Linked DNA regions of Caenorhabditis elegans. The protein of the gene in region 1 interacts with the protein of each later gene in a pairwise test. Each region holds a gene or a part of one and is shown in the gene's direction. Other genes may lie near its edges.

The links.
Region 2: the proteins of aex-3 (region 1) and cab-1 interact in a two-hybrid assay, tested with the Caenorhabditis elegans proteins (one study listed by BioGRID).

What each region holds. Positions count from the first base shown.
Region 1 is NC_003284.9:756,635-761,733, reverse strand, and holds the start of aex-3 (MAP kinase-activating death domain protein), read left to right. Parts: upstream 1-2,001; 5' UTR 2,002-2,032; coding exon 2,033-2,261; intron 2,262-2,504; coding exon 2,505-2,682; intron 2,683-2,754; coding exon 2,755-2,895; intron 2,896-2,944; coding exon 2,945-3,092; intron 3,093-3,281; coding exon 3,282-3,434; intron 3,435-3,485; coding exon 3,486-3,794; intron 3,795-3,900; coding exon 3,901-4,023; intron 4,024-4,070; coding exon 4,071-4,370; intron 4,371-4,420; coding exon 4,421-4,568; intron 4,569-4,618; coding exon 4,619-4,986; intron 4,987-5,077; coding exon 5,078-5,099. UniProt on the Caenorhabditis elegans protein: Guanyl-nucleotide exchange factor that regulates small GTPases. Converts GDP-bound inactive form of rab-3 and cab-1 to the GTP-bound active forms. Regulator of presynaptic activity that interacts with rab-3 to regulate synaptic vesicle release.
Region 2 is NC_003284.9:12,199,519-12,207,344, reverse strand, and holds cab-1 (Protein cab-1), read left to right. Parts: upstream 1-1,712; coding exon 1,713-1,911; intron 1,912-3,802; coding exon 3,803-3,894; intron 3,895-3,954; coding exon 3,955-4,261; intron 4,262-5,153; exon of another isoform or gene 5,154-5,300; intron 5,301-5,594; coding exon 5,595-5,906; intron 5,907-5,951; coding exon 5,952-6,015; intron 6,016-6,062; coding exon 6,063-6,144; intron 6,145-6,804; coding exon 6,805-7,026; 3' UTR 7,027-7,689; downstream 7,690-7,826.

The sequences.
Region 1 (5,099 bases):
ATTTGGTACTTGTGTATCACTTGTTCCCCTAAATGTTTACAATGAATAACATTCCAACATTCTATAATGGTCAATTGACACTTCAAATAATTTCAATTTGACTGATGGAGCATTTGAAAAAAAAAGAATAAATAAACTGTGAATAAATAGCTTATAATTTTGTCTAAGTACACTTATAATGTTCCAAAATGACCAAGTATCATAATAAAAATACCAAAAAAATTTAGATTTGTCATAATTTCCGGTCAAAATTTTTCACAAATTACCAAAATTATAAAAAGTATGAGCTTTTGAGGAAATCCAAAGAAATTTCAAATGCTCCGACCCCTACAATGTTTTAATACAAATAATAAAAACAAAATTAAAGTATAAAACAAGTAAAAAATAAATTTGTTTTTGTCACTTTTTGTCACTTTTTGACAATAAATAAAAAAATTTCAAAAATTTTTTGGAGAGTTTCAAATGATATTTGGTCATTTTGGCACCATTGGAGTAGTTTTTAACAGTTTCCCCACTGGCGCTGCTCTACCTTTAAAATAAAAAAAACTTCAATTGCATATTTGTGAGTAGTTCTTTCATTTTTTTTTTTAATTTTGATGTCGATCATGTCAGTATATAAACGTTTGCTTTATAGGTACTTGAGTATGTAAAACACATTATTTAAAATTTTGAAACCTGAATTTTTTTTTCAAATACAAAGCTTCCACAAAAACTGCCGCTTCAATTCTCCATGTGAAAAACGATACAAAAAGTGTTCCCACATTTATAAGTTGGACAAATTGGGAATTTGGTATCCCATAATAACAAACTTATATGTTTTGTCGTGTATATCTCTCTGTTTTTCTCTCCCTCTATTGATTTGGAACTCAGTCTTCACTTCTTTGCTTCGTCCTCCCTCTCTTGCCATCCATTCGTTTCACTCCTCTCAAAAATAGCAGCGAGGGGGCGAAACAGAAAAGGGAAAAGAGAATGAGAAGGAATACACATGCACACACATACACACGTCTCTTCTCTCATCGGCCTCCTATGCCCCTTTTTGGTCTACACACTTCTCCATCACATGGGGGGGGGGGGGGGGGGGGCTCTTGCACCTCCACTGCTTCATTCTGTTCTTCCTCTTTTTTCCTCCCTTTTTCCTCTCTTTCTTCCCACGACATCCAATATTTTAGCTTTTTTATTATTGTGATTTGTTGCTTAATCTTATAGTTTCATTTTTATATAAACTCAAATTCCAGTCAAATGAAGTCCAAATTTAAAGTCAGAAAATATGTTCTGATTTTCTTGCGAAATGCTCCTTTTTTACATTCTTCCCCAATGGAAAAGTGCGTTTGACACACGTTCCGGCCATCAATTATTCTTTCGAACCCAACGTCATCTTTTTTTAACAAATCGCAATTTTTGACGTCACTCGTTTTTTTATAATTTAAGGTTTTAGATGAGACTAATAATATGTAAAATTTAAAAACAAAGCATAGACTAGCAATTATAAATAACTCAACTGTTAAGTATATTGAAATTTTGTATAATATAACTTGGAAAAAGTATGTGATGTGGTTATATGTTGTGAATTTTATTTAAATAATTTTAAACAAATTTTGAGATTATTGTATTAAGAAAAAATGTAATGTATTCTCTAACAATTTTTCACAAAATTAATTTCTTCTGTTCCGTTTTGTGAAAATTGCAAAAAAAACCTTTATAGTTTATTCTGAAATATATAGTTTATACACTCAAAATTTCTAGAAATTATCTGTCTAGTTTCTGAAATTTAAAAAAAAGTAATATTTTACTATTATGAAATTTTATATTAAACCTTACTTAAAATTTCGTTTGTAATCTATCATGTAAACAGTTACACAACAAATATTTGAAAAATTAAAATAACTACCTCTTATTGTTTCTATTTTTTTAAATTAAAAAAAAAAACTTTTTTAGAGCATACTTTTTTTTCTTCATTTTGTATCTTGGATTTTTTTTCTAACTTTTTCAAAATTTGTCCAGGCTTGCACCAATGTACCTATCCTAATAAAAAATGAATGACAAAGAAAAAGAGATATGCCCTCGTCTGATTGACTTTCTGGTTGTCGTAGGAAAGCGAAACCGTACTAGAGGAGCCAGTCAAAGCAGCCCGGATGCCACTACAGACACCACAGTCACATATCCTGAAATTCTAAGACGGTACCCAACCGATGATCATAAAGATTTTATATTGCCAACTGATGTCACTGTGTTTTGCCAACCGGAAGGATGTACTACTACGAGTGAGTCGTTTTGTTTGAAATGCCATTTCAAAAAAAAAATTAATATTACACTTCATAATTTAATTTGGTCTTCATGGAGAATTGTTCCCCTAAAAAATATTCAAAAAAATTACCATGTCATGGTTCACTTTTTTTGAGATTGAGGAATGTTGTTTTTCTATATTTTGAAATATTTGTTTTTTTCAACCCAGAGGTGAACTTTTTATCACAACCTTACAAATATTTAGAATACATATGTTCCAGGTGCACGTCTACGCAAAAATGCACGGAATGATCCACAATTTTTTGTGTTCATGCTGACGGAAAAGGACTCTGCAAAAGTTCGATATGGAATCTGCCTTAATTTTTACCAATCTTTCGACAGACGCTCAACTCCTAAAGATGAAATCAAGAAGGTTCCAGATGATGCTCACCACAAAAAGTATGTTATCTTTTTGTCTTCTTTAATTCTCTGTGGTAATATTTCTATAATACTAAAAAATTTGCAATTCAGACGCGACTCCCACGTCTCATTGACGAGTCTCTGCTTTATTTCACACCATCCCTTCGTTTCAATTTTTCATCAAGTACTTCTTCTTCTCAAGCGCATCATTGACAGCAGCAATCACAGAGCCGCACAGCGGACTGGGCTCAAGTGAGTATTTTTGTGAAGGAGGCGATCGTCATGAATTCTATATTTACAGAGACGTCGTTTGGGCAATACTTACAGGTCATTATAATGAGCCAATTGTACCGGAGGTGATGAAGGAAATTAAGGAGATTGAGACATGGATCTTAATGTTGTTAAGCTCCCCAGTGCCTGTTCCAGGAAAAACCAAAGTTCAAATTGAGGCAAGAAAATGTTTTAAATTGATCTAGAATTATATAGATTCTTCCAATACATTTTAAATTCCAAAAAATATATTAGACCTTGAAATCCAATTTCGCAAAACCTAGCCACATTTTACTACTTATGTCTACAGGTTCTATGTATTAAATTATTAGATGCCTAGTAACTGTTCTACAGAACATTTTTTTCAGGTGATGCCTATGGATCTGTCACAAGTTTTTGAGTTTGCCCTTCCGGATCATACCAGATTCACACTAATCGACTTCCCATTGCACATTCCGTTTGAAATCCTCGGTATCGACATGGCTCTTCGTGTTTTGACCGCAGCAATGCTGGAGTTTAAGGTAATTTTTGAACTAAAAACTTTTTTTTTCACAAAGGTTAACATTATTCAGATTGTTATTCAATCCCGAAACTACAACGCTGTAAGCATGTGCATACTCTCCATAGTAGCACTTTTATACCCACTGGAATACATGTTTCCTGTCATACCTCTCCTGCCAGCTTACATGCCATCCGCCGAGCAGCTTCTTCTTGCTCCGACTCCGTTTTTGATTGGTGTCCCTTCATCGTTTTTCCATCATCGCAAAATTAGAGAGCTCCCGTCAGATGTCATTCTCGTTGACTTGGACACAAATTGTCTACAGGTTCCAGATGATTTATACATCCCCGATCTTCCTGAACCAGACGCCACACATTTGAAAGTGAGCTGATTATTTAAAAAAAAACGACGTCCTTTTTCGAATATATTTTGTAGCATATTGATAGTTTCGTATGTTGGTGGTTAATCTCAAAAACTAGCATTTTCAGGAACGTCTGAAAAATGCCATTAACAAAATGACTACTATGACTGTGGACAATGAGACCAGCGTGACAGATGCAGATTTTGGAATCGACATTGACAGTGTCGATGTAGCATGTCGAGTTGCAATGGTATATGATATTTTTCAAACCTATCTGAATAAAGCATCATTGTCCAGGTTCAATTCTTCAACTCGGCCAATGTTTTCGGAAACTTCAGTGAACATACCAGAACCCTCCGGCTTTACCCCAGGCCAGTGGTGTCGTTGCAAACGGACTCATTTCTTCGAAGTCGTCCGCAATGCACACAATTGATCACTGACCTGTGTCGAACTCAAGCAGTGGAATATTTTGCAGAATGTTGTCTTTGTCCCAAAAATGAGACGTTTGTTAGAGTGCAAGCGGGAATTGAGAGTGCCGAGCAAGTTGGCGATAAACCGAAGTGGTTCAGCGAATCACTCATGCCTGTTCATTTTATGGTAAGTCCGGTTTCTTGTAGACCCAATTATAGTACAAGTATTTGCTTCAGGTGTACCCCAACAATTCCACATTAGACTCTGCCATTCGTGTGTACAACGCTGAAATTGATAATGATGACTATGAAGATGATAGTGCAACTTCTACGGAAAACTCCAATAGCATTGATGATTTGGTATTTGATGAAAACCAAGTTACAGGTAATTTAAGGTTATATACTTTATTTTGTTGCACAACCCATTTTGTTCAGATGCCGGAGGAGAAGTCACCAAACCACTCGCCGAAGTAAATTACATTTACAAAGAGCCAATGACATTAGAACTCCCACAAAGCGAGAGTGTCGTGTCAATTGACAGCTCATTGAGCAGTGGAAGGAGTAGTCCGGACTCTTCACTTTCCACGTCAGCAGTTGATAGTGAAGCGGACTTTGCAAGACTTGCAGATAATTTAGCACTAAAATCTAATTCTCAAGGAGCATTCTCGTTTGATCATGGGAGCGATTCTGAGTATGAATCTACTCCAGTGTCACAAAGAAGAAAGACAATTCATAATCCTGGAAGTGATGCTTCCGATACACCTACTAGTAGGGGTTCTATTAAATCTGGATTAAGAATGAAAGTGAGTAGTGATTTGCTTTAAAAAATTAGGTTCGGTATTCAGAACATTAAAGCTGTAAATAAATTCAAAATTGTTCAAATATGATTTGTAGGGACTCACCACACTAACGGACT
Region 2 (7,826 bases), about 11 Mb from region 1:
GGCTAATGTCCTTGATAAGTACTTGCATGCTCATTTCTTTTGGAGCCATGATCATATTGAGCCAGTTAGTCTAACGACAAAAGCTCGCACATCGCTAATGAGCTCTTTTTTCATATTTTTCTGAAATATCTCTGTATATTCACAAGTCACGTGTGTGTGCGTCTTACCAAGCGCACAATTAACATTATATCTAGATATTTTGCTCATCTCCGCCAAAGCGTGTTATTAATGCTCGACGCCTCTTCATAAAACATTTTTTAGTTTCAGATACACTTTTAGTTTCCAATGACAACGTGAAGATCTCAAGTTTTTCGGCTCAAGAGTTTCACCATTGACGTCAATGACATCTTTTTTGAACCGGATCGGTTTTTTTTAAGAACCATAAGTGCTATGGATAATGAAATAAAATCCAAATAAAATAAGAAGAACGTTTGCTCAAAAACAGACTCATCATCTGACACTCTTTTCTTGTTTTGAGTCTGTTAGAACACTAGGGGTTCCGAGTCTAACCAAAAAATGTAGATGGGGGGAGAAGCAGTGATGAGAATCAATGAGCATGTCTGAAACAGACATCAGACCACTTTTCAATGAATTATGGTTTAGTGGAATGAGTATTCCTTGTTCCTGTTATACTCTGAAATCCTTATGGTTACTAAAATAAATGTAATTTTTCATCAGAGGCAATTCTCCGAGCAGGTGGAATAGAAAACATTTTAATGTTAAAATGAGGTGAAAGGCTATTTGATTTCTAAAAGTGTTTTGTGACATTCATTATGAACCTGTGTTGAGGAAATATGAATAAACTTGAAATTATAGATTGGATCTTGAAAAGTACAATGTTTTGATTTAGCTTCTTTTTTGTTCCTTTTAGTTAGGAGCAAAAATAGAAATAAGGAAGTCTCTAAAGCAAAAACAAACTAAAGTTTTGATTACCAAAAAAAAATTTGAACTTTATAGGAAGTGCAGCTCTGATAGATCTATTTTGTTGTTTTTTGGGTTTTTATAATGATACATTATTGGTTTTAGAAACCTTCAACTTCAAAAAAAGGGGGTTTTTTTCACTGAAAGAACCAATCATATTGTCTCAGCAACTATTAACTTTTCCAAAAATGTTTAGCTAAGTTTCGGGCACTATTGCTTCCTCTTCGTTTTTTGCCTTTTTCATCCTACATCATGTATTCTTAGAATGCCCTGAAACAGCAACAAAATGAGCCACCGTGAAGCAGCTGAAATGAAATGAAAGTCAAACAAACCCTTAACTTGAAAATCTTGAAGAGGCACCCGTTTCCTTTCTCCACTTGTTGTAAGAGGGCTCCGGAAACAAAGAGGAAGATGATGAGGACGGCTTTCTTTCTCTCTATCTATCTCTTTTTCTTTCCTTTTTTGTCCGTCACAAGACCCGTTTTGTCCCTTTCCTCTTTCTCTGTATGTCATGCATATATGTTAGTGAAGCTGGAGGGGGGCCCTTCTTTTTTTCGGGGTCCATGCTCCAATGCTCAGATATTGCCTTCAGGCGTTTTTCTCCTTTCCTCCCTCTTTTATCCTCCTTTTTCAAAGCCTCTTTCTAGAAACTGAAAAATAGTGTGCGAGTGAGTGTAGCCGTTAGGCAACGGCGACACGACGGCGACTGAATGAAATGAAGGAGTGCGCGAGCAGCCCGCCTTGTCTCCTACGCGCACGTCATCCTCCAACCAACGAGAGAGTTCTTGCAGATGCGGTATACATTCTCAGACGAAAAGAAAGCGACGACGACGACGACGTCGCGAGCCAAGTCGCAGGCCCGCCTCTTAAACTCGGCGAGCTACCGCCGAGCAGCTAGAACCACTCTTCGGCACTCATACGGGATGGGCATGTGGCGAGCCGTTGCGCTGCTCGCTTGCCTTTCTGCCACACATGCCGCACTCTTCACAGGTAAGTCTGATTTATATTAAGAGGGTAATTAGAGGGGAGTTTTTTGTTTATGATTATATGGTTTCAAAATGTTTTTTGTTGTTGTTAAAAGTTATAATTGCAAGCCAAGAGTAACCATTAACCTAGCATTTTCAGAAAAATTGTTTACTGAGTTAATACTTTTTTTTGTAATGTTAAGTTGTTGTTGAACTTCCTAGGGTATGAAAAACTAAAACCATTTCTCAATTTGATTCAATTAATTTTTTCGATTTCTCAGTTTGAAATTGTTTTAAATTTGTTTCATAAATTGAAACTAAAATGAAACACAATTAATAATTAGCTCTCTGCGTAGTATTTTTGAAAAAAATGTGTCAGTTTTTTTTTGAAAATCAGTCGCTAGATTTTAAAAAATTTTAAAAAACTATTCAAGTTGTTATTGCAACTTTGTTTCAATTTATAAACTTTAACAAGGTACCGAATGTGATTGATTATTTTGTTTTTAATTTTTAGTTGATTAATAAGCATTTACACCCACTCGTTACCATTATAAGCGGTTTCCGTCATAATCAAGCCTGCAAAAGCTGTCATTTTCCATCTTCTATTTAAAGTCCAACTTCATGTTCTGTAACTTTTTTCTTTGGAAATTGAAAAATAGAAAAAAAATAAGCAAAGAAAAGAAACCTCAAAAATTCAGAAAATGACAGGTGCAATTTAGTGACATTTTCTCTGCTCATTTCATTTTTCAATTCACCTACAACTCACTCACCTGCCTATTTTTTTTTCAATCTCGCCCACACTTTTTCTCCAATATGGCGGGAGCACTTACTCCTTGTGTAAAAGGGCACGTGATTTGTACCAAAGAAGTGCAACACTTTCATTTGAGAGCATCACCGCACCACATCTCATTAAGGCAGGCTCAGTGACAGAGTGAGCTCTCACATGACTCATTGAGCACGGCTCTTGGATAGATACAAAAAAGAAGCGGAAGTGGGAAGAAAAAAGGAAGTCCCTCATGTACATTTTTGATTCTACAATTTCATTTTTCTTCTGATTAGTTTGTCGTGTTTTGTGGATTTTTGGACAAATGGTCTTGAGGCATTTATATTTAAGAAATTACAAAAAATAATCAATCAAAACAGATTAAAAAACAAGCGAAAATACTGGAGGATCTTCAGTTTACAATATGAGTCAGCAAGAAATCCAATTCCACTTGCTTTCTTTCGCACATTCAATGAATAGAATTCTTCATGGAAAGAATACAATTTTTCAATGGCCAAAAACCCACTCCTTTTCTTGGAAAATCAAAAAAGAATTATTGCGAAAAAAAGAAGAAAATCTCAAATCAGCTTCTTTAACGAAGCGTGAATCGCACTTTTCTTCTATTCTTCATGTTGACTCAAAAAAAATTCTGCCAGATTATCAGAATTTGGAATGTTTGAACTTGGGCAGGCACTATTTTAAAAATAGATTATTTGAAAATGTGAAAAAGCACGAACATGTAGTGTCCTTGGAATCAGTCAACCAATGTTAAGTACTAAAAAAAAGGGATACTATTTTGAGATTAAATGAGAAAATAAGTCAACCAACAGTGATTGGAATTGTACTTCTGGGAGATGTCATATTTAGAAATGTTTTCAATACCGTATAGTAGTGAAGCACCTTTTCAAACACTTTCCATTAAAAAATCTTCAATTGATACCTTAGGCCTCTATGCAGTTAAAATGCAAAAAGCATACGAGATACGTTTTTTTCTAACTTGATTGGATTTTATTAGAAAAAAGAAACAAATCCCATAATCTTTTTACATTTTAGCGAAATCTTAAAAAGTGATATCACAATGACTTTCTAGTTTTTAGTATCAGAAACAAATTGCATAATGATCATGCATAAATCAAACAGTTAGAATTTTCAGAAGGAGGAGCGGTCCAAAATGGAAAAGATAACAAAGCCAACAAATATGTTGAATTTGCGCATGATGACAAGATAAATAAGGAGGACTTGTTGGTTAGTTCAGAACGTTTTCAGAAAACTTTGCAATATATTCCCATTTTCTCAACATTTCAGAAGTACTATGGAAAGGAAGTGGAACAATACAAAGATGATGACAGCTACATGGAGTACCTCATTGAGTACATGAAAAGTCATCCAGTTCCGGCCCAGTTTCCCAATTTTGAGCAAGAAGCAGAACAAGAACATCAGGATGAGCTCAACCAGTGGCTGGAGCAACTCATGAATGAGCAGGAGCTTCTAGAACCAGCCAATGCCGCTGTCAAGGATGCTGAACAGAAGGCACCTTTGGCTCCAGTGCATCACAAGCAAGTTGCTCAGAAACCTGCCCAGGAGCCATTTGACTTGGATGATTTGTTGAGAGGTAAGGAAGGGGTAATTTCTTTTTTTGAAAACCGATTTAGTTTTGCGTTGTTTTGTTTTGTTTTTCATTTCATTTTCGGTGTTGTTTGGCGGTTCCACTCACTTTCCCATTTCAGCCATATTTTTCTTTTTCTATTTTGTCTGTGTGCTTCTGCCTTTTGAAATGAAATGGGGAGAGGGGTGGCGCAAATAGGGAGTGAGTAAGTGTGTCATGTGCATGTGTTCATTTATAATGATTAGAAAGTGGGCGAAAACCCTAAACCGACAACAACAAAAACTGTGACGATGAATGGAGTTCTGCTAACCCCCCAACTTTGTTTTGGAGATGGAAATACTGAGAAATTTTTTGTGTTATTAAAAAAATTGTGAAGTAGAAATATATTTTGTCATGATTTTATAAGAAATATGATTTAACTTATAGGAGCACTCCAATAGTTCAACTGGAGAAATATTTTCTTGCACTCGGTTGTGAAAGTCCTGGTTATTTTTCTGTTTAACCATTTTTCACAAGATAGGTTAAGGAATGTGAAATTGGTAGTTGAATATTTTGAAGGAATTATGCCAACTTCAGCATTACCATAGTAATTTTAAAACTTAGACTCAAAAGTTTCCAGTTTAAAACTGAAATATTATTCCATGTTTTGTTAACTTTTTTGTTAAGAATACCAACAAATATCTCATTGATTTGTCTTCAATTTCAAAGAAATCGTGTTTCATTCCTTAGTATTTAAATTCGTTCAAATCCATCTTATCATTTTTGAGCACACGAAAAAATCCCATCGACATCATCAAAAATGCCACCAAAGTTCGAGTTCAAAAGATTTTGAATAGCAAAGCAGGCATGTGGTGCTCCGTTTTCGTGCCCCGATGACGTGAATAAGCTTAAAATGTTGATGTTGTCCTCCGTAATGTGCCCCGTCTTCTTTTTTTTCCTGCCAGGAAGTCATATTTCCTGGAGTGCGCTACACATTGCCGATTGCCCCGGGGCTAGGGCAATACGGGAAAATCTTGGAGAACAGACATACGTGAATACTAGGAAAATGTTCTTTTTATTTTTTAGATTGAGCAAACAGAAGCAATAAATGGAAGAATTTAGTGCAAGCTGGAAAAAAACGGAAATAAAAGGAAAAAAAACAAGAAAAAAGAGCCACCGCGTGACTATCCACTTCATCTATCTATCTCCTAAATAGCTTATAATTGAGTTCATTTGGATTCTTTGAAAGCTTCAGAAACACACATGCGCTATGCAAACACAAAAATACATAAAAGAGTGACGTTAAGAGGGTGGATGGGATGTGAAATTGGATGTCTATCAACTAAAACCATTGTTTCAGGAGAGCTGATGCTCGAGAATGAAATCGCCAAGGAATCAGAGCTCAAGAAGACCCAGGAGAAGCTGTCCGAGCAGACACCTTCCGCCAAGGCGAACGTCGAGTCGCTCGAAAGTGCGATGCAGACTGCCACTGGTGAGCCACAGGTACCCCAGAAAAAAGGACAAAACGAGTTCGTCTCGTTTGTGGAACAAGAGCCCCAACCAGCCAAGCAGACCATCTCTTCTCAAACCGTTGACAAACGCCGTCTTGCTACCTCAGCTGAGTATTCAGGAAGTGCACCGAGATACAGTAGCAGCAGCCTTCTGCTTTTAGGTTTGTATTAGGGTGTCAAGGAAGCAACTATTTTCTAAATTTCAGCAGTCGGAACTGTTATGTGTGTTGGACTTATTGGTACCGTCGCCGGAGGAACCTATTACTACAAGTAATACTTTTGAATTAATTTTTAAATTAATGGAATGCGTGTTTTAGGAACAACAGACGTACCGAGACCCCAGATGATGGAGAGTACGCTCCATACGCCGGAACTGGACCAGGATTCCGTAAGAACAAGGTAATAATCTCAACTCCACGTTCGCCAACGTTGTTTTTTCATAACAGAAATATTTAGGCTAATATTTTAAATTTGTCAAAAATATAACAGCCAAATATAAAAACTTATTTTTCAGAAAAAAACCCAAAAATTGTATTATCAGTTTTTGCTGAAATTTTTTTTGTGCTGTTAAAAACTCAGAGAAGTGTGAATATTAGGTCACGTTTGTCTTTTTTGGTTGGTTTTTTGTTTGCGATTTGCAATTAAATTTGCTTCAATTTTTTTGTCATCCAAATTTCATTATTCTTCCCGTTTCCTAGAAATAGATTTGAGCTCTCGGCATCGACTTTTGGTCACACACACAGCTCATGTGCATATTCACATAAAAAACGAGTATATTTCCCCCCATACATCATATGCATAGGTCGCTTTGAGCTAATCCATTAACAGAATTACATTGAAAAAAAGAGAGAGGAAATCGAGAAAAATGATGTGAAATGTGAGAGCTTGTGCGTTAGAGAAAAAGAGTCAGTGTCGCGTGATTAATATTCTGAAAATCAGAGTCCGGAAAAGAGCAATCTGATTCAAATAAATCCCATATCTCGCTTTCCGATTTGGCTCGATTACAGACGAATATGATATGAGATGAAAACTAGACACGTGATACAAACATGATTTCAGGGAAACAAGGGAGATGAGACTTTGGCCTACAAAGCCCAACTCCACCAGTACCAGCAGGCAAAACAGAAGATCATCTGCGGAGAAGATGCGCCAGGAATCATCGAGTCCGACGGAGAAGACGGTGCGGACGAAGAGAACAACTACAGTGTCTACGAGTGCCCGGGTCTTGCTCCAACTGGTGACATCGAAGTTTGCAACCCGAACTTTGCTGCTCAGCCCTAAATTCGACGTGGTGCTCGATGAACATATCGGCAACCTCTCCTTTGTATTTAGCCTCTTTCGAGAAATCGAATAATTATCAACTACCTTGTATTCTCAACAAAAAAGTTAAATGATAATAACAATTGAAACAACAACGTTTTTCTATTTCAAAAATAACATGATCAGTCTTTTCGACAACAACCATCATTTTCATCATCTTTTTCATTCATTTTTTCAAAGCCACAACAAAAAAAATACTTAAAAACCCCCTTCAGCCTTAACACCTGAAGGGTTGGAAAACCAAGACAACTTTCTTAAATTCCTGTTTGTAAAAACTAAGCGTACTGCTTAGTTCTCTTTTCTGTCTTAAAATTGCTTCCCCTTTCCGTTGTTGAATCGTTCCCCCCTATAACCAACAATTTCGTAGTTTGTGCATAACACCGGTGAAAAGAGAGAGTACCATCTAACACATTTCCACATTTTTCTAATCGTTTATTGTAAACTTTTTCTTCTCCGAATCAGAATTCCTAATTTCATTTTTGTGAGATAAAAAAAAGAGATCCGTTTGTCAACCACCCCATTCATCATCATTTACCATCGATGAGTTCGTTCGCACACCTCGACCCACCGAGTCCACTATAAATTTATCCGAGTGAAATTTTGGATAATAAATCATTCATGTTGATCAGGTTTTTAATCAAGTATGAGTTATTACTGTTTTTTTTAGAGAATGCCATGACGCTCAAACAATATCTTGGAAAAATTAAATTAAGATGTGGATGTATTGAAATTAAATAAAAAATTTTCTTGGAGTTTTAGAA